Arabidopsis thaliana: one gene and its partners. The protein of the gene in region 1 purifies or fractionates together with the protein of each later gene. This does not show direct contact. Each region holds a gene or a part of one and is shown in the gene's direction. Other genes may lie near its edges. The genes, in order: AT3G14600, AT4G18100, AT1G26880 and AT3G28900.

Evidence for each region.
Region 2: the proteins of AT3G14600 (region 1) and AT4G18100 fractionate together in Arabidopsis thaliana (co-fractionation; one large-scale study listed by BioGRID). This does not show direct contact.
Region 3: the proteins of AT3G14600 (region 1) and AT1G26880 fractionate together in Arabidopsis thaliana (co-fractionation; one large-scale study listed by BioGRID). This does not show direct contact.
Region 4: the proteins of AT3G14600 (region 1) and AT3G28900 fractionate together in Arabidopsis thaliana (co-fractionation; one large-scale study listed by BioGRID). This does not show direct contact.

What each region holds. Positions count from the first base shown.
Region 1 is NC_003074.8:4,908,786-4,912,984, forward strand, and holds AT3G14600 (Ribosomal protein L18ae/LX family protein), read left to right. Parts: upstream 1-1,843; 5' UTR 1,844-1,987; coding exon 1,988-2,002; intron 2,003-2,447; coding exon 2,448-2,563; intron 2,564-2,657; coding exon 2,658-2,721; intron 2,722-2,806; coding exon 2,807-3,148; 3' UTR 3,149-3,504; downstream 3,505-4,199. Other genes in the region: AT3G14595 (Ribosomal protein L18ae family), read left to right, coding at 252-408, 1,002-1,071, 1,168-1,276, 1,379-1,441; CYP72A7 (cytochrome P450, family 72, subfamily A, polypeptide 7), read left to right, coding at 3,780-4,053, 4,179-4,199.
Region 2 is NC_003075.7:10,034,829-10,038,488, reverse strand, and holds AT4G18100 (Ribosomal protein L32e), read left to right. Parts: upstream 1-1,841; 5' UTR 1,842-2,013; coding exon 2,014-2,103; intron 2,104-2,462; coding exon 2,463-2,774; 3' UTR 2,775-3,021; downstream 3,022-3,660. Other genes in the region: AT4G18110 (RING/U-box superfamily protein), read left to right, coding at 771-1,412; AT4G18090 (uncharacterized protein), read left to right, coding at 3,642-3,660.
Region 3 is NC_003070.9:9,314,584-9,318,907, reverse strand, and holds AT1G26880 (Ribosomal protein L34e superfamily protein), read left to right. Parts: upstream 1-2,027; 5' UTR 2,028-2,226; coding exon 2,227-2,305; intron 2,306-2,428; coding exon 2,429-2,508; intron 2,509-2,746; exon of another isoform or gene 2,747-2,893; intron 2,894-2,978; coding exon 2,979-3,088; coding exon of another isoform or gene 3,089-3,110; exon of another isoform or gene 3,111-3,174; coding exon 3,175-3,268; 3' UTR 3,269-3,603; downstream 3,604-4,324. Other genes in the region: AT1G26890 (FBD, F-box and Leucine Rich Repeat domains containing protein), read right to left, coding at 39-176, 255-464, 531-1,319; FEZ (NAC (No Apical Meristem) domain transcriptional regulator superfamily protein), read right to left, coding at 3,925-4,324.
Region 4 is NC_003074.8:10,901,197-10,906,364, reverse strand, and holds AT3G28900 (Ribosomal protein L34e superfamily protein), read left to right. Parts: upstream 1-1,906; 5' UTR 1,907-1,949; coding exon 1,950-2,028; intron 2,029-2,135; coding exon 2,136-2,215; intron 2,216-3,218; coding exon 3,219-3,328; intron 3,329-3,407; coding exon 3,408-3,501; 3' UTR 3,502-3,849; coding exon of another isoform or gene 3,850-4,038; 3' UTR 4,039-4,362; downstream 4,363-5,168. Other genes in the region: AT3G28899 (uncharacterized protein), read right to left, coding at 3,850-4,038.

The sequences.
Region 1 (4,199 bases):
TAGGAAAAAAAAAGAGAAGCGAATGTTTCCCCTGGGATTACGCAAATATCAAAGATTATTATAGGAAAATCTGGTTGAGGAAAGCTGACTAACCACCACATAAAAAGCCACGTGGCACATGCACTTCCCCTAGAAATACGAAACTTTAATAAGAAGCATCCAGCAAAACCGAAATCTTGGTTCACCACCGTCTCCAGATCAAAGAAAACAGAGAAACATCTGTTTTTTTGTTTAGTTTGATCTGTTGAGAGATGACGAGCGGTGGCGACGATAAAAACAGATCTGTGGTGACAGATCATCAACATCAACAACAGCCTCCTCCTCCGTTTCAAGGCGTCTCTAACTATCCACCGCAGCAGCAGCCTCCCGCCACCGGTTATCCTCAGCCTGCTCAGCCCTACGCCCAAGGTTTCTTTCTTTCCTCATCTCTCATTATATGGACAACATCATCAAAGCTGTCGTTTTGTTTTGTTTTGTGTTTTGTTTGGTATAGAAGCTTCATTTTATTCTTGATCCATTATATCGAAGATCCTTTTTGATCAACTTTTTACCTCATCTAAGATGCTAAGATTCGCATTGGATTAAAATTTGATTATTTGAAAATTCGAGTGATCCAGTAATTAGAGAGAAATTGTATATTGCCTCTTCTATGATATAAATCAAGATGCTAGATTCACTTGAGAATAATGACATGAAGAAATGAATCTTTTTTATAAAAAAAAAAATCAGGTTTTTGAAATAGATAATGCAAATAGAAGGTTCTCTTTTGGCGTTTACGTCTTACAATTTGACAAATGATTTTTTTGCTTAGTATTTTGAACATTGTGGATTCATTTGGAAACAAACATCAGAATCTCTTATCTCATCTGCCAAAATTTCTAGCTAAACTGTAGTTTCTCAAAAGGATTGTATCATTATTGCAACGTACACACACCACTTGGCTGTTCTAAAGCTCGTTTTGGTTATCTCTAGTTTTCATCAACTATAGTCTTTGGTCGCAGGTTATGTTGTTAATGGAGTAAGACCAACAGAACACGGTCGTTGTTGCGGTATCGGCATTGGCTGGGTATTGTAAGTGATCTTTATCATTTATTTTTACCTAACTTCTCTTCTCATTACATTCTTGATAATTTTTGAGAGTTTTTTTTGGTTTGATGTGTCTTGAAGATTCATCCTTGGTTTCTTCTTCGCTTTGCCCTGGTACATCGGTTTCTTCCTTCTATTATTCTCTAGGAACCCGCGTGAGAGACCAGGATATATAGCTTGCGCAGTTGGGGTAAGTCCACTACTCTATATATCTCTCTCACTCAACAAGAACCATTTCTCTTTTCTTTATCACAAATATAAATCAATTCTGACTAACCCTTCCTTTTCGCAGGCTGTTTTTGCTACCATTATCGTCATCTTTGGAACCGTAAGAGGATCAGGGGTGTGGTCATGAAGGTGAAGATGTCAACAATCTGAATCCGTTGAGATTTTGTTTCAGAAGAAGATCGATCCATAATGTTTGTTTACATAATGTGTATTGTCTCTAGATTACAAAACAGTACTGTATATGTTTCTTTGAAAAGTTCTTCTTCTGAAAACATACTAGTGTTTGCATTTTCAAAGAATTTTTTTTATATAAAAAATTTGCATTTGTTTAGATGATACGAATTCAAATGAATCTGATTATAAGCTCATTTAGTAAATGTGTTTGACCTGAACCACTGACTCATAAAAACACTTGAGCTCATTTGACCGGCGACAGTAAAAAAGTAAATTTAATTTACCCGATTTACCCGCTGCAAATATTTTTGTAACGCCAATGTAATGAGAAGAATAATTAAAGGCCCAAGTAGGAAAAAGAAAAGCCCACAGAGACGGCCCCTAGGGTTTGTCCTTTAGAGAAACCTCTTTTATAGTTTTCTCATGAGCGCCACCGTTTAGCTCTTTTCTCTCTGTTTTGCTCTTGGCTGATTCGTTGGAGCTTGATCTCTCCGTGGAAATGGGTGGTTTCCGGGTAAGTTACTTCTTTAGTCTGTGTATAGGATACGTGATTCTGGGTATTTGGACTTCTGAAGATTTGATTTGGAGAATCATCAACTGTGCTCGGTCGGGGATAGTGTATTATAAGGATAAATAGGTTCTGATTCGCTTAGAAAGTATGAAACTTTTTCTATGTGCATCCGTTAAATTAATATGAATTTGAAGTGTTTATTTCCGGATTTGGTTTGTTCTGTATGAATCTCTAGGATGATTGTTTTAGTGCTTAATGTCTTCTAAAATGATCATTGTGAATCATTTTAAGCTTCATTAGCTATCCTTAGGCCCAGAGATCGGTGTTGTCTTGTGACTCACTGAGAGAGTTGATATGATGTAAGGATTAGGGTCTGGTGCTGTTTAAGGTTTTACCAAAGCTGATATTTTTGTTGGTTTGTGATTAATTGATTCAATGTACATTGCAGTTTCACCAGTATCAGGTGGTTGGGAGAGCCCTCCCGACAGAGAACGATGAGCACCCTAAGATCTACAGGATGAAGCTTTGGGGTAGAAATGAAGTATGCGCCAAGTCCAAGTTCTGGTGAGCCATTCGATTTGATACCAGTTTGTTAATGTAAACTCCATTTTGTCTTGTTTATTTCCTGATCTAAAATGGATTTGCTCGTTGTATCTAGGTACTTCATGAGGAAACTGAAGAAGGTGAAGAAAAGCAACGGACAGATGCTTGCCATCAATGAGGTATGGATTGCATTTTACTTAGATATCTTAGATATGCTGAAAGATGGCTACTTGTATCTGATCTTGTTGTTCTACTTTATTATAGATTTTCGAGAAGAACCCAACGACCATCAAGAACTACGGGATCTGGTTGCGTTATCAGAGCCGAACTGGGTACCACAACATGTACAAGGAGTACCGTGACACAACACTCAATGGTGGAGTGGAGCAGATGTACACTGAGATGGCTTCTCGTCATAGAGTGAGGTTCCCTTGCATTCAGATCATCAAGACTGCGACTGTCCCTGCAAAGCTTTGCAAGAGAGAGATCACCAAGCAGTTCCATAACTCGAAGATCAAGTTCCCTCTTGTTTTCAGGAAGGTCAGACCACCAAGCAGGAAGCTTAAGACTACATACAAGGCATCAAAACCTAACCTTTTCATGTAGAAGCAACCGACATGATTCTCATCAGAATAGGCTTCTTGTTCCTAGTCTGAACAAAACACTGGAGTTATCTTCTTTTGAACATTTTTCAACTTTTTTTTTGTTCTAGATATGATACAATATTAAGGTGACTCATCTCCAATTTTCGTCAGTTTCCAAAGTTTTGCTGCTTTAGTGTAATGTTGCAGAAAGTTCAAAACTGTACTATCTCCCACTATCATAAACCAATCTGCTTTGTATGCCAACGACCACTAAACTAGCAACACTTCATTCTCATTCTTGTATGAAACTATTCTCGCAATTCCATAAATGTCTTCATCTGCAGTCTGGTTTATGCTACATGTCCCCGGAGCTCTCGGCGTCTGACACACACTTCACCCAAAAAGGATTGAGAGCAGTTCAATTCATCATGCTCAGTGGATCACTTTTCATGATTTATCGATTAAAAAAATTGCAAGTAGACGAGAACAGATGGAAAACTCTTACACGCAAGTACACAGAAAAAGCCCCTTTTCCGGCAAAGGATTTGGAGTGTAACTTGTATAATCAAAACTCCAGTGACAGCCAAAAAGTCTCAATCTTTATAAAGACCCACAAAAACTTGCGGACTCCAGAGTGAGTGTGAGAATCGGAGATGTCTTTTTCAGTAGTAGCAGCTTTACCGGTGCTTGTAGCAGTAGTGGTACTGTGGACATGGCGGATCGTGAAGTGGGTCTGGATAAAACCAAAGATGCTTGAGAGTTCTTTGAAAAGACAGGGTCTTACCGGAACTCCTTACACTCCTCTCGTCGGAGATATAAAGAGGAATGTTGATATGATGATGGAAGCGAGATCTAAACCCATCAATGTAACGGATGATATCACCCCACGTCTCCTTCCTCTTGCCTTAAAGATGCTCAATTCTCACGGTATAGTGTCTTTTCTTTCTTTGTTTCAGCAGAGTTGGGAAGTGAATTGTGTAGAATTTAGTTTGACTTGAGATCTCTGTTAGGTTGAATTGTTGGTGCTTGATTGAGTTATGTTGGTGGAACAGGAAAGACTTTCTTCATATGGA
Region 2 (3,660 bases), on another chromosome or scaffold:
ACTGTTTTTGATTAAAAAAGAAACCAACTTTATTCTACTTCACCCTTTTGTTGTATTTAGCAGGATCACTAACACAAACTCATTGCCGCTAGAGCCAAAGGAACACACAAGTATCAATTAGTTTAAAAATCGAAACTTTAGCAGGAAGAACAAAAAAAAAAAACTTACCTAGAAGAAATTGTTTTTTGTTTGTTTCTCCCACGAATACAGAAGAAACACTTTCTTATATATGTGTGTATTATATATACACATTGATAAAGAAGAGAGAAATTAAATAAGTTTTTGATTATTCCTGAAATTAGATATTCTTTTGAAAGCATTATTAAAAGAGAGAATCTTTAATTGGATGGAGAAGAGAAGAGTAATGATCGGAACAACGGCGAATGATTGAGTAACAAAGGACCAAGTGGCTCGACATTTTTTACTCCTTTTTCTATTTTTTCCCATTAAATTCAACTATATTTAAACTTCTTTTGGAATCCGAAAAATATATCTGTTTAATTGTTTTTAGTTGATAATACTTAGTCAACTAAAACATTTGACAAAACAAAAAAAATCAGTTTGGCCCGAATTTTTTAATTTTGTGTTTAGATAATCATTGATTAAACATGTTCCATTTATTTAGGGCATCATTTTTTCTATTTTTCTAAATAAATGTAAATTTGAAACCTAAGTGAATTTGGAGACTCCAATGAACCTCTATAAATAAAGAAGAGATCGATTGTTTTAGAGCCAAAACAGACATAATTTAATCAACAAGGCTTTTAATTATGGAGGGCACATCAACATGGATTCTAAACTATGAATCTAAGACTCACATCGTCGATCACAAAAATTCAGGATCCTTCTCAATAAGTATCCAAGGAATTGAGCGGATTCTTATCCGGAGTCCTAGCGGTCGTGAAACTTTGGCTCAACAAAAATCGCTAGGAAAGAAGAATGCAACAGTAAGAATCGCATCCGAGATCCCACCTGTTTTCCTCACCGGAGAAGAAATATGCAGTATATTTGTGGCTAACGTGTTGTCCAAGTCAAAGATCAACAAGTGGATTCAGCAAAGTATTGTTCCTAAAATCTGCGAAGACCTGATTGATATAAGACGCCACCTTGAAGAAGAAGAAAAAGATGGTTTCTTGGTTGAAGTTGAAGTTGTTCTAGAAACGTTGTATAGTGATTGGTTAAGAGTCAATGATTATGACTCTCAAGGTTGTCTAATACCAATAGAAGAAGAGTGCATAATATGTCTAGAAGAGTTAGCATCATCAGGTAGTGAGAGGAGGATCATGAAGTTGCTTTGTTCTCACAGTTTTCATAAAGATTGTATTCTCCCCTGGCTACGCTGCAAGCGATCATGTCCTACTTGTCGTGACGACATCCACAATCGTCGAGCAGAAGAAGACCACCATGAATGATATTTTGTAAAAAGAAATTAAGAAACAAAAAAAGAAAAAGGAAGAAAGAAACAATTCAAGCGTTTCTCGTTTCTGGATTGATAATATGCAAGATGTTTGGTGCTAGATTCTGAGTTAAGAGTTTTGATTTCCTTTGTTGTGTGCTTCCTTAGTCGTCATTGTTTTGACTTGTTTCTCTTGTAGTGTTGTTATTTGCTCTCCATATTTCTTGGCTTAGTTTCCGAGGATATCTTTGTCATCCTTCGACTTAGTTTCCGGGATCATGTATTGATCGTCGGCTTTTTGTATTTCACCTAATATCTCATCAATGAAAATTAATCTTCCAGTGAAAAAAAAAAAACGAAAAATTTTCTTAATTGAAGAAAAAAGTGTATTTTCCTTTTAGTTTAATAAATTAGATTGTTTTCTTAAGAGCATACAATTTCTTTAGTTGAAGGAAAAAACGAAAAGGCCGTGAAAGAAATCTTATTGGGCCACAACGTGAGCCCATTTAGTAATGTAATATCAGAAACCCTAGTGTACGCTTATAAAAGACATTTTAGGTTTGTTCAGCTGTTTTACGGAGTCGCTTTTGAGATATCGATCTTACGAAGAAGCAAATATGGCGGTCCCATTGCTTACCAAGAAGGTTGTGAAGAAGAGGTCTGCTAAGTTCATCAGACCCCAGAGTGACCGTAGAATCACCGTCAAGGTAAACCCTTTTTCTCATTTGATTTCACAGAGTTTTAGGATTTTAGTAGATCAATCTCTGGGTTTTGTTCCTTTAAGTTTTTATTGGTAGCTGTATCTTAAAGTTTGTAGCTTTAGGATGCAATATGGTGGTTGAATTAAACATCTGACATTAGTCTCTATCTATGAAGATATTACATGAAAATGATGATTTTAGCTTGCCTGAGTTCTCTCATGAACAATATTCATTCGATTCCAGATTAGGTTGAGTTTGATTCCAGATTAGTCTCTTATGTCGTTTTTGGAAGAATTGAGCTTTTTGACATGTTTGTGGTGATTTGGTTTGATTTCTTATGTACTTTGTGGTTGGGAAATATTCAGGAAAGCTGGAGGAGGCCAAAGGGTATTGATTCAAGGGTGAGAAGAAAGTTCAAAGGTGTGACTTTGATGCCCAATGTTGGTTACGGATCTGACAAGAAGACTCGTCACTATCTTCCCAATGGATTCAAGAAATTCGTTGTTCACAACACAAGTGAGCTCGAGTTGTTGATGATGCACAACAGGACTTACTGTGCTGAGATTGCTCACAACGTCTCCACTAAGAAGAGAAAGGCAATTGTTGAGAGAGCTTCTCAGCTAGACGTTGTTGTTACCAACAGGCTTGCTAGGCTCCGTAGCCAAGAAGACGAGTGAAGAAGAATCTTGCCTACTACTTAGTTGTTTCTTCTGTTTTGTTGCATTTCCTTTTTGTTATAAGACGATTTTTGATTACTGCTGTGTTTGTGTTTGGAGTGAACAAACATGAGTTTTGGTTTTAGTATGAAACAGATCAAGTTAAGACCTTTTGTTAAAGCTATTTCGGATTCATTACTTGTCAAAGGTTGAGCCTATTTCATCTAGAATTTAATAATTTGTCAGAGGATCTCAATTTAACTTGGTGGATGATTTGAATTGTTCGAGTCTCTCACATTCGGTAGACAAGAAGCGATCAAATTACTAGTAGAGAGCAATCTCGTGTCTCGTTGCTGAAACAATGCATCTATGTACAGTTAAACTTGATTGACTTACAAACACAGCATAACTAAATACAATGTAATTATAGTACACATGAGTTTACAATAAACTCAATGGCTTTTTGGTTCTGACAATTGACCCACACAAACTCTAACAGTAACACCAAAAGTTTTGACCTTTCGTCTACCAAACGATATGCGAGAGAGAGCAACACCATATTTTCATAGTTAAAGAGTGAGTTTTTAGGAGATGGTGAGTCGCGTCATTCCTCAACGGTTCAGGTTCCTTAGTTACAAATTGTGTATACTAATCACTTAAAGAACCAAATCTTTGGACAGAGCTCGTGGGATTTTCAAAAGGTTTAACTTTTCCCCGACGAAATGCCTCAGAGAGATTCTATACTGTGAGAATGTAGAAGAGACGCGTAAATTTGGAGTTTACGTTTTGCTTGTCGTTTACACTACACGTCAGCTCAAACGTCTTTGTATGAAAGACTACTTAAGTACAAACATATAGAAAGTCTCTCTCTCTCTCTGAAACGAGAAGATGAAGATCAGAGATTCGA
Region 3 (4,324 bases), on another chromosome or scaffold:
TGCACTTGTGTTTAAGGGGAGGAGGATGGTATACTTACAGTGTCAATCGTAAGAATTTGTAGTTTAGGAGAATTTTGAAGCAAATACATAAGTGGTTCCAACCAATCTACCAAATTGCTTGGAACAAAATAAAACTCCAAGAGCCGAGAGAACTTGATGGTGTTACACCACGCAACCTGTGATTAAAAAAAAATATAACATTAGTTGGCTAAGCAACAAGGAAAAGAAGAGGATCGGAGATATGTAATCGGTACCATTGGCTTGGTCAAATACAAGTACATATGTATGACAGAAGAAAGAGATCTCAGAAACTTGTGATCGGGGTTATGAACATAGCCGAGTTTTGCTATATGAAGGCAAGAAATATTCTCTATCAAGCAATAGTCCAAAACGTTACGTAAGCGTAAAATTTCTAATGCAGGGGAATCTATTACCAAGGATCTATTGAGATCATCATCATCATCCTCCTCTACCTCACCTACGTCAACTTCCTCAACCACACCTTCCTCATCATCCTCTACCTCATCTACATCATCATCATCCTCTACCTCATTTTCCTCTACCACGTCTTCCTCATCCTCTACCCCATCCTTCCGCCGAGTAGTATTATAATGTAACTGTTTCAAGGTAGATACTTTCACGGTAAATTTTGTCAAGTTGTCATCCTTATGTCGATCCACCTTCAGGCAGTTGAGAACAGGGGAGCTTGATAAAAGGCTAACAAGAGATTCTTCGTCTTTGTACACCACAAAGCGAAGACTCAGAGTTAAGAGAGATGGTAGGCGAACAGGGGAAGAAACGTTCACTAGAATCTTGTTGGATAGACTTAAATCAACGAGCGTGTTGCATGTGTAAAGGCACTTAGGAAATCCTGTGGGTTCTGCGGTCCAGAGGAGATTGAAATCTAACTCTTTCACACCTCTATTAACTACGTTCTCAACCCACTTTCCGACATCTACGTCAACAGGACAATGTGGACCGAGTTCCACAACCAAACTATCTAGTTTCGGTGCCTTATGGAGTTGCAATGACTTTTCAATAAACCACCCCACGCTCTCGCTGTCATCTTCTTTGAATTCGAGTCTAGGCACCATCGGCCAGACATAACGCCATCGTTTAGACAAGATTGAAGTGGCGACTGCCTCTTTTGTTGGGACGTGATGCAAGATCTGCAAGAGCAAATCGTTAGGAAAAGCACAGATTCTAGTTTCGTTTATCTGACAACTTTCGGTTTCTGGAACAGTTGATATATGCTCATCGTCGTGTATAATATCCCAAAAAAAAGACCAACAACTTAAGCAACCCATAGATGTGGCCATGTGGGATACCGGATACCTAGCTAGACGCCAATGGAACTTTTTTCTCGTCGCTGGCTGTGACACAAAAGTGAGTCTATATTATAAAGCTTTTTTTCAAAAAAAAACAATTATTATACAAATATTTATTATTTGTTCAAAGAAAAAAAAAAAAAAATATATATATATATATATATATATATTATTAATGCATATAAAAAAAGAAACTAAATTAAAGTTGCCCAATTTTTAAAGTAAAACTGCAATATAGACACACATAAAATATATCAATCGATTCTCATTCTTACATAATTGTTAGTTTTTTCCCTTAAAAATCTAATCATCAAACCAAACAAAATTGTTGAAAATCCAAATTTTCTAGCCTGGTCCTTATATTTCCATTTGTTATTTTGGATGAATTTATTTTCCAATTCCCAATTTTGCCGCCAACCTTGATTAATTTCTCTACTTGGCTTGCTCTAATTGCTTGCACCACGCCCTTGTAAATGTATCGATTATGTTTTTACGTGCCATGAATTTAAATTTTTTGTTGTTACACTATTTGATAAAATAAATTGAATGTGTTTTGACTAAACGGATTATAATACTAATTAATCTTTTTAAAGTTCTACGTATAATTTAATGCATCTATGATTTCTTAAAAAATCAAAATAAAAATTGGTAATAATGTTTCTAGTTTCTGTTCACTACAACATACAAACGATACTTATTCTAATTGCAGCTAATAATAGAATTGGTTTTTACAAGTTGAATTTTTTTTAATTATTTGTACATGGGCCTTTAACTGGAGCATAATTAAAGACCAAAATGAGAAAAGGCCCATATAGTTGTAGTCTTAGTTTAGGTTTGGAGTCTCACCCTTATATTCTTCGTTCCAAACGAAAACCCTAAAAGAGAAAAGGAGGCGAAAATGGTGCAGCGTCTTGTTTACCGGTCGCGACACAGCTACGCCACCAAATCGAACCAGCACCGTATCGTCAAGACTCCAGGTCCCTTTCTTCTTCTTCTTCTTCTTCCTTGATATCTTCAATCTCCTCTGCTTTAGTCTCATAATTCTCTAATCACCGATCTGTTCTTCATAGTGTAATGTGTGTTGGGATTGTTGATTTCAGGAGGTAAATTGGTGTATCAAACCACAAAGAAGAGAGCTAGTGGCCCCAAATGTCCTGTTACTGGCAAGCGTATTCAAGGAGTAAGTCTTCTGATTTCGATTTGGCTTCGTGTGATTTGGTTTACATGGTTCTTGTATCTAGAGTCTTGATTTGAGGTCTAGATAGAGTTAAGAGTTTGAATTTTTTAGGAATTTGATGGCTATGTATAACCAAATCAATCAGATTGAGTGTTTTAGAATGTTTTGAGTATTGATCAGTCTCATTTTTAATGGGCATGTCTTCTTATTTCAAGAAACCATGTTACTTAGTTAATAGTATTGTGCTTATTGACGGTCTTGTGCTGATTAGATAAATCCCACATCAGTACATAACATAAATCATAAGCTAAATTGTCGGTGCCACTTTGTCTTTCAAGTTGTTCCTTGTATTACATAAGGATTTGCTATCCACCTTTGGCATAAATTTTCAGTTTATTCCCAACTATATATGTTTGATTATGCAATGGCATATTCCTTTTGCATTATGTGAATAACTTTGTTTGTTTATTCAGATCCCTCACTTGAGGCCCTCTGAGTACAAGAGGTCAAGATTATCAAGAAACAGGAGGACTGTAAACCGAGCATACGGTGGAGTCTTGTCTGGTTCTGCAGTCAGGGAAAGGTTTGTTGTCCATCTTACTTGAGTCATCTTTCTATTACAATAAATTTGGTGTTCTTTAACGTAATGTTGTTTTTGGATTCCGACAGGATCATTCGGGCATTCCTTGTCGAAGAGCAAAAGATTGTGAAGAAAGTGTTGAAACTCCAAAAGGCTAAGGAGAAAGTAGCCCCCAAGGCTTAAGCTTTTATGTTTTATTCTTCTCTGTTTTGGAATTATGGCTATGTTCAAGTGATAGGACTTGGTGCAGTCATGTGAGGACATCTATGTTACTCGACCAATTTTTAAGCTTTGTATTCTGTTATCAGTTCTTAACTTTGTCGACAATTCTCTTCTCTTCAGTTTTGGAATTGTTGAATTCATCTTTAATGTTCTATTGTTGATGCATATCACATAAGCTGTTGTGATTACCTTCTTGGTTAATATAATATTTCTGAATCTCTCGGAGGCTAAATCAAGCTTGCACTTTAATGTTCTCAGCGTCATGACACAACTATGGAATAGCAATTTTGAGTCTTAAATCTTAACTATGCTTCAATTTTTGGGAATTCTACAACGACAGTCTCGTATGCGATTAATGAAGTCAGCTCCAGAAATAATATACTTACTGGTCTTTATTTTGAATATAGTAAAACTCGATTCAGTTTTTCTCTTGTTCATCTTGACTTACCTCATGCCTTCTTCATTAAAGCAAAGTTGCTTGTGAAAAATAAAAACTCAAGGAAGCATAATTAATAAACGATTTAATTTAGTGAAAGAGAAAGCCTACAAAGAGGAAATACCCTAGCTTGAAAAAAGCAAGCCAAGAAGGCAGAGATGGGAAAATCTATCCACATACATCAGGTTGTACTGGAGAAACAAGCTGGCAAATCGCTATTGATGGACGATAAAGAAGAATAATAACTCTCCAGCAATGTCATGTTCTGTTTCAGGTCTTGATGATGACGATGGTTCTCATTAATTGTTGAAGTGAAATCATCAAACCGAAGTGTGTCGCAATGATCACCAAGATGATCTTCATTGGAACCACGCATGTTCTTCATTATACCATTTCCTTCGAATCCCGTCTCTTGATACTCCTGTGGTAGGCTTACAAGCGGGGGACATTGCTCTTGGGCCAACACTGCGCTGAGGTCGATATGGCTCGTGAATTCTCCCAAGAAGGTCGAATCTGAAGACGTGTTTAGCAGAAACGATGGGATTTCATTTGACGAGGGGAGCCTGGGAAACTGAGGTTGT
Region 4 (5,168 bases), 6.0 Mb from region 1:
CTCTCACTTCAATCATCCCCTGAGTATATTGAATTTCATTACAACGAGATTTTAACCCGCGGTACACCACGAGGCTATATTCTTTTTTAAAAATAAAAATTTAACTTGTTTAGTAGATTTAAAATATATATGATTTAATTTGCTGTACTTTTAAAATGTACAACTCTTATATCTTACTATGTTTAATTTTTACTGTTTAAAAGTATAAGAAAAATAAAATACAGTTAATTAAGTTAAAATCTAGATTATAACTAAATAATTCAAATTTAAATTATATTTGTTTTATTAATATTTTTATTTTTTTAGTGTTTAAGATAATATAATTGTATTTTAATTTTTATATCTAAGATTTCACCTATGGTACACCGTCTTGTATTACTATCGACCTAAACCCGTCATATCATCTAATCTCGTTCAGTGAAATCAAACATATCTAATGGATTTCACATGTGGTTTAGCGTCTCGTATTTTATCGATCCAAACTCGTCTTACCATCTAACCCGTTCAATGAAATTAAACTTTATTTTGTTATTTTTGTTTTAATAATACTTTAATTGAAAAATATATAATTTAAATCAATTTAATTGTTTTTAGTTCAAATGGTTATTAAATTGTATAAAAGTTCATATATTATAAATATTATAAACCCGTCCTACCATCTAATCCCGTTCGGTGAAATTAAAAACTATTTTTTTGTTTTTTGTTTAAATAATACTTTTATTAAAAAAAATATAATTCAAATGAATTTAAAAGTTTTTTCAAACAATTATATAAATTTTATAGATTTTACATATTATAAATATTCTAAACGTTTATTCTGTTAAATATTTTAAATGTTTAATTAACTACAATATTTTATTTTTTAATCAAGTATATATTAATAATGTCCTAAAATTTCTCATTTTTTAAGTAATTATAATTAATGGAGATATATTAGATAAGAAAATGCTACTAATTAGGAATATTAATGTCAATGGCATTCCGTGTAAATAAGTTCCAACTCGAGGATTTATTTCATAAAATGACTGCAAAAATGTATATGTAGATAGTGAGAAGTAACCAAAGCTAACAAATGTTCCAGAATATGATCCTTCCCTTACATGAAACATCTCTTACAAGAAAATTCTTCAATCCACAATTTACTGCTTTTATCTACCAAATCCTCAAATCCATTACAATAAACCTAATCCCATGAATACTATATTTTGTTTTGATTAGGTTTAAAAGGAATAAACTAACCTCAAGGTCGTACCTATGCACATTGTTTCCGGCCGACGCTTCTCCATCCTCTGCCTCTATAAATCATAAAGCTCCTCTAACGATGCTCTCGATTTCACATTCTTCTCGCCGTTCTCCGTGATTTTGCTTCTTCACTAAAGGATCGTCTATGATTGAGTCTTCGATCAACAATTTAATCACACTGGATTTTAGTCCCAATCAATGTAATCAGAGAAATCTCCGACCTAATCGCTATCGCCAAAAAGACTGTTTTTTTTCTTTCTTGTTTTGTCAAAGAATCGTTTTTTTCTTCTTCTTGTTTTGTCAAAAAATCGGGCAAAACATGACACGTAATAGTCTCTTTTGCTTTTCAAAATCTATCTCAAGAGAGACAGCTCTCTCAAAAAATAAATCATTCTGATATATTTTTTCCAACTTAAAAACATAGAACCTATGAAGAAAGCTTCATTTTTACATTGGAGATGCTCTAAGTGTTTTTTTACGTGTTTCTTTACCAACACAAAATGCAAATATAGAAACTATTGATTAATACACAAATTAAAGAAAAAAAGAAAAAGATAAAAAACACTACAATCAATCTGAGCCGTCGAATCGTAAGCTCACTACATCCATTAGATCTAGGGCTCAAGAGATCACCTCCATATATAAACTCGTATCAATACATTTTATCCCCTTTGGCCGACTCTTACTGACCTCAGAGCTCAGCAAAAATGGTTCAACGTCTTGTTTACCGATCACGTCACTCTTACGCCACCAAGTCCAACCAACACCGCATCGTCAAAACTCCTGGTAATGTACTAAAAGCTCTCTAATGTCTCTTTGTAGTGACTCTTGAAAGATCATTGAAATTTTGGGATCTAGTTTTTGTTGAAAATTTGGGGTTATTTGGCTTAAAGGTGGAAAATTGACTTACCAGACGACGAACAAGAGAGCTAGTGGACCTAAGTGCCCTGTTACTGGCAAGAGAATCCAAGGGGTAATCTTTTCTATTCAATTTCAAAAAAGTTGGTGAATTTTGCTGTTAGGGTTCGTGTTTTGAGTTTAGTTAGATTCTCTGGATCAAGAAATTGTGCATTTTGCTGTTAGGGTTCGTGTTTTGAGTTTAGTTTGATTCTCTGTTTCAAGAAAGTTTGTGTCTTTTGGTGTTAGGGTTCGTGTTTGAGTTTAATTTGACTGACTGTTTCAAATTCGGTTCATGTCTCTTGTGGTGCTAGCTGTTTTCTTTAGTATATTTGGATAAAAGTTTGTAAATGTTGGTGTTAGTGTACGTGTTTATGTGTAGTGGACAACAATGTTTGTATAAACTTGTCGCCTCTAAAGCCACAAGGGATAAAAGTTAAAATTGATCTAGACTTGTCGTAATATATTTATACTTCATGTCCATTTCAGCCAGTTCTTACCTTGACTTGATGATAGCCTGCTCTTAAAGATATGCAAGTTTGGTTCATGTCCCTTGTGGTCTATTAGCTGCTTTCTGGTTCGTGTTTATGTTTCTGTTTACGAATAATGTGTCTTGGAGACCAAGGGTTACACATTGGTTATTTTGGCATTGAGACCAAATTTGGAACTTAAATTAAAACATAGACACTTTAGGGATTGAATTCAAGAATTTTGTTGGTTGAAGGCTTTCCTTAAGTTGGTAAAATGGTGAAAAATATCTTACTTTCATGCCCATTGATATAGAGAAACAAAGTTTACATGGTTACTCGACTTAGTATTCCTTTCAGCTAATTCTAACAATAACTTGATAGCCTGAATTTAAGTTGAGCATCATTTGGCTTTCTCTGTTCCTATTGTGTTTGTCGAAGACTAGTACCTGGTATATAATGAGTTGGTAGTTACTTGGATCAGCCCCTGGTTCTTATCGAATAATCAAGGGTTACTCATATGCTTAATCTCAATAGAACCTCAAAAACACATTCCTTTTTTTGAATTAGCATGGTTTCTTAAGCTTTACTTTCTATGTTTGTTTTCTGCAGATTCCGCATTTGAGACCTGCTGAGTACAAAAGGTCAAGGTTGGCAAGGAACGAGAGGACAGTGAATCGTGCATATGGTGGTGTTCTATCTGGAGTTGCTGTTAGGGAGAGGTAAGTGTATTGTAAAGACCTCTTAAAAATTGGTTTCTTTAGAGTATTGCAACTAATCTTACTCTTTTCTCTGTTCCAGGATCGTCAGGGCCTTCTTGGTTGAAGAACAGAAGATTGTGAAGAAGGTTTTGAAGCTTCAGAAGGCGAAAGAGAAGACTGCACCAAAGAGTTAGAAGAAAACTTTTTGGAGTCTTATAAGATCTATGGAGAAACTTATTTTGTAGGGATCGATAGACATGAGTTTTTGTTCACGAAAAAAAGAGGCAAATGTTTGTTTTTTGATAATTTCTGAGTTCTGTTTTGTTCTCCATTCAGATTTTACTTTCTCAAAGTGTCTCCGTTTGTGTTCATTGGTCTTTTTTTTTTTCACTGGAAATATAGATTTCATTGATAGAAGATCTGAGTACAAGAGCTGACAAGAGAAATACTCTTCCAGAGGCTAAGTCGGAGAGTACATGGAACCTCCCGGGGACTAAAAACATATTAAAATGAAACAAGGGAAAAAAACCCGATCCAACAAATTACACCACATCTGATCCCTTTACTCTACCTAAACACGCATGGGTGGTGAGATAAAACCAACATTCAAAGACCCGAAGGAGTGAGAGCCTTATAAAGGAGAGAACGAGATCGGGATCTTCAGGTGAAATTTCAGAAGTCTGAGGCGAAAATTCGGATAGAAACGTCTCTGCCTTGGATAGATTGGCCATATCTGACTCTGCTCTTGAAAAAGACAAAAGACAAGCAGCAAAAACCTAGAAAGGAAAAGTTTTAGACTTTATATATCTAGATCTGAAAATTCAGATTCAAAACCGTTGGAAGAAAATCTCTCAGATGTGTCTAAAGAGAAAATAAAACAAAGGTAGAATAAGAGCAAAACAAAAGACCCCGGTTCCGGTGCTGAGAAAGCCACCGGAACCGGTAACCCTAAATACAGGCGGCGGCTGGAGTTTTAGAGAAAAGGGAGAGTAAAATTCTAAGAGAGAGAAAAGGGCGAACCGAAAAGTTTGTGTTCATTTGTCTATTGGTATAATTCTTGCCGATATTTGTCAACAAGATTTTTAAAAAGTTTATATATATATATATAACTAATAAAAATATTAAAAATGGAGAGTGTCTTTAATTTTAGATTTGAGTCTCTTGAGACACCAAAAAGAGTGACTTTTGTGTCTTTAAATTTATTATTAATCTATGCTAAAGATACCCATCAATTCCAAAAATTGTCTAATGAGGATGCTCTATGTTCCACATAAAAATTTATATTTGAAAAATGTTTTTCTATTTCCTTATAGAAAAAACAAATAAAACAAATAAAATTTGTTTTATTTTAACATCTAATTTTATATAGAAATAAACGGCAAACAAGCTCTTCTTCAAAAATAATATATAAACTAGATTTTATCCCGCGGTATACCGCGGTGACAATTTATCTTTTTAAAGTTAGTATAATTTTTTTTTTGCAAATTGTATCTATCTATAATATATTTTTATTTTATAGTTTACAATTGTTATTAAGTATCGTCCTGCCAAACCCATCCCGCCAAACCCGTCCCGTAAAAAACCATTTATTTATATTAATGTTGATCTTATTTATGATATGTTTATAAATCATTTTCTAAATATTTTTGTCGATGCGGGACGTTGAACCCACACATTTTTTGCTAATTGGTTAATATATGTTCAATTTTAAAATTTTGAATCATAAAATATGACGGAAAAAATTAAGATTTTTTAAACTCTATATATTATATAATGATGTTAAAAAATTGTAATATATCAAACTTTTTATAAGTTTAAATATTAATAATGTTTTATAAATTTTAAATATATAAATAATAAT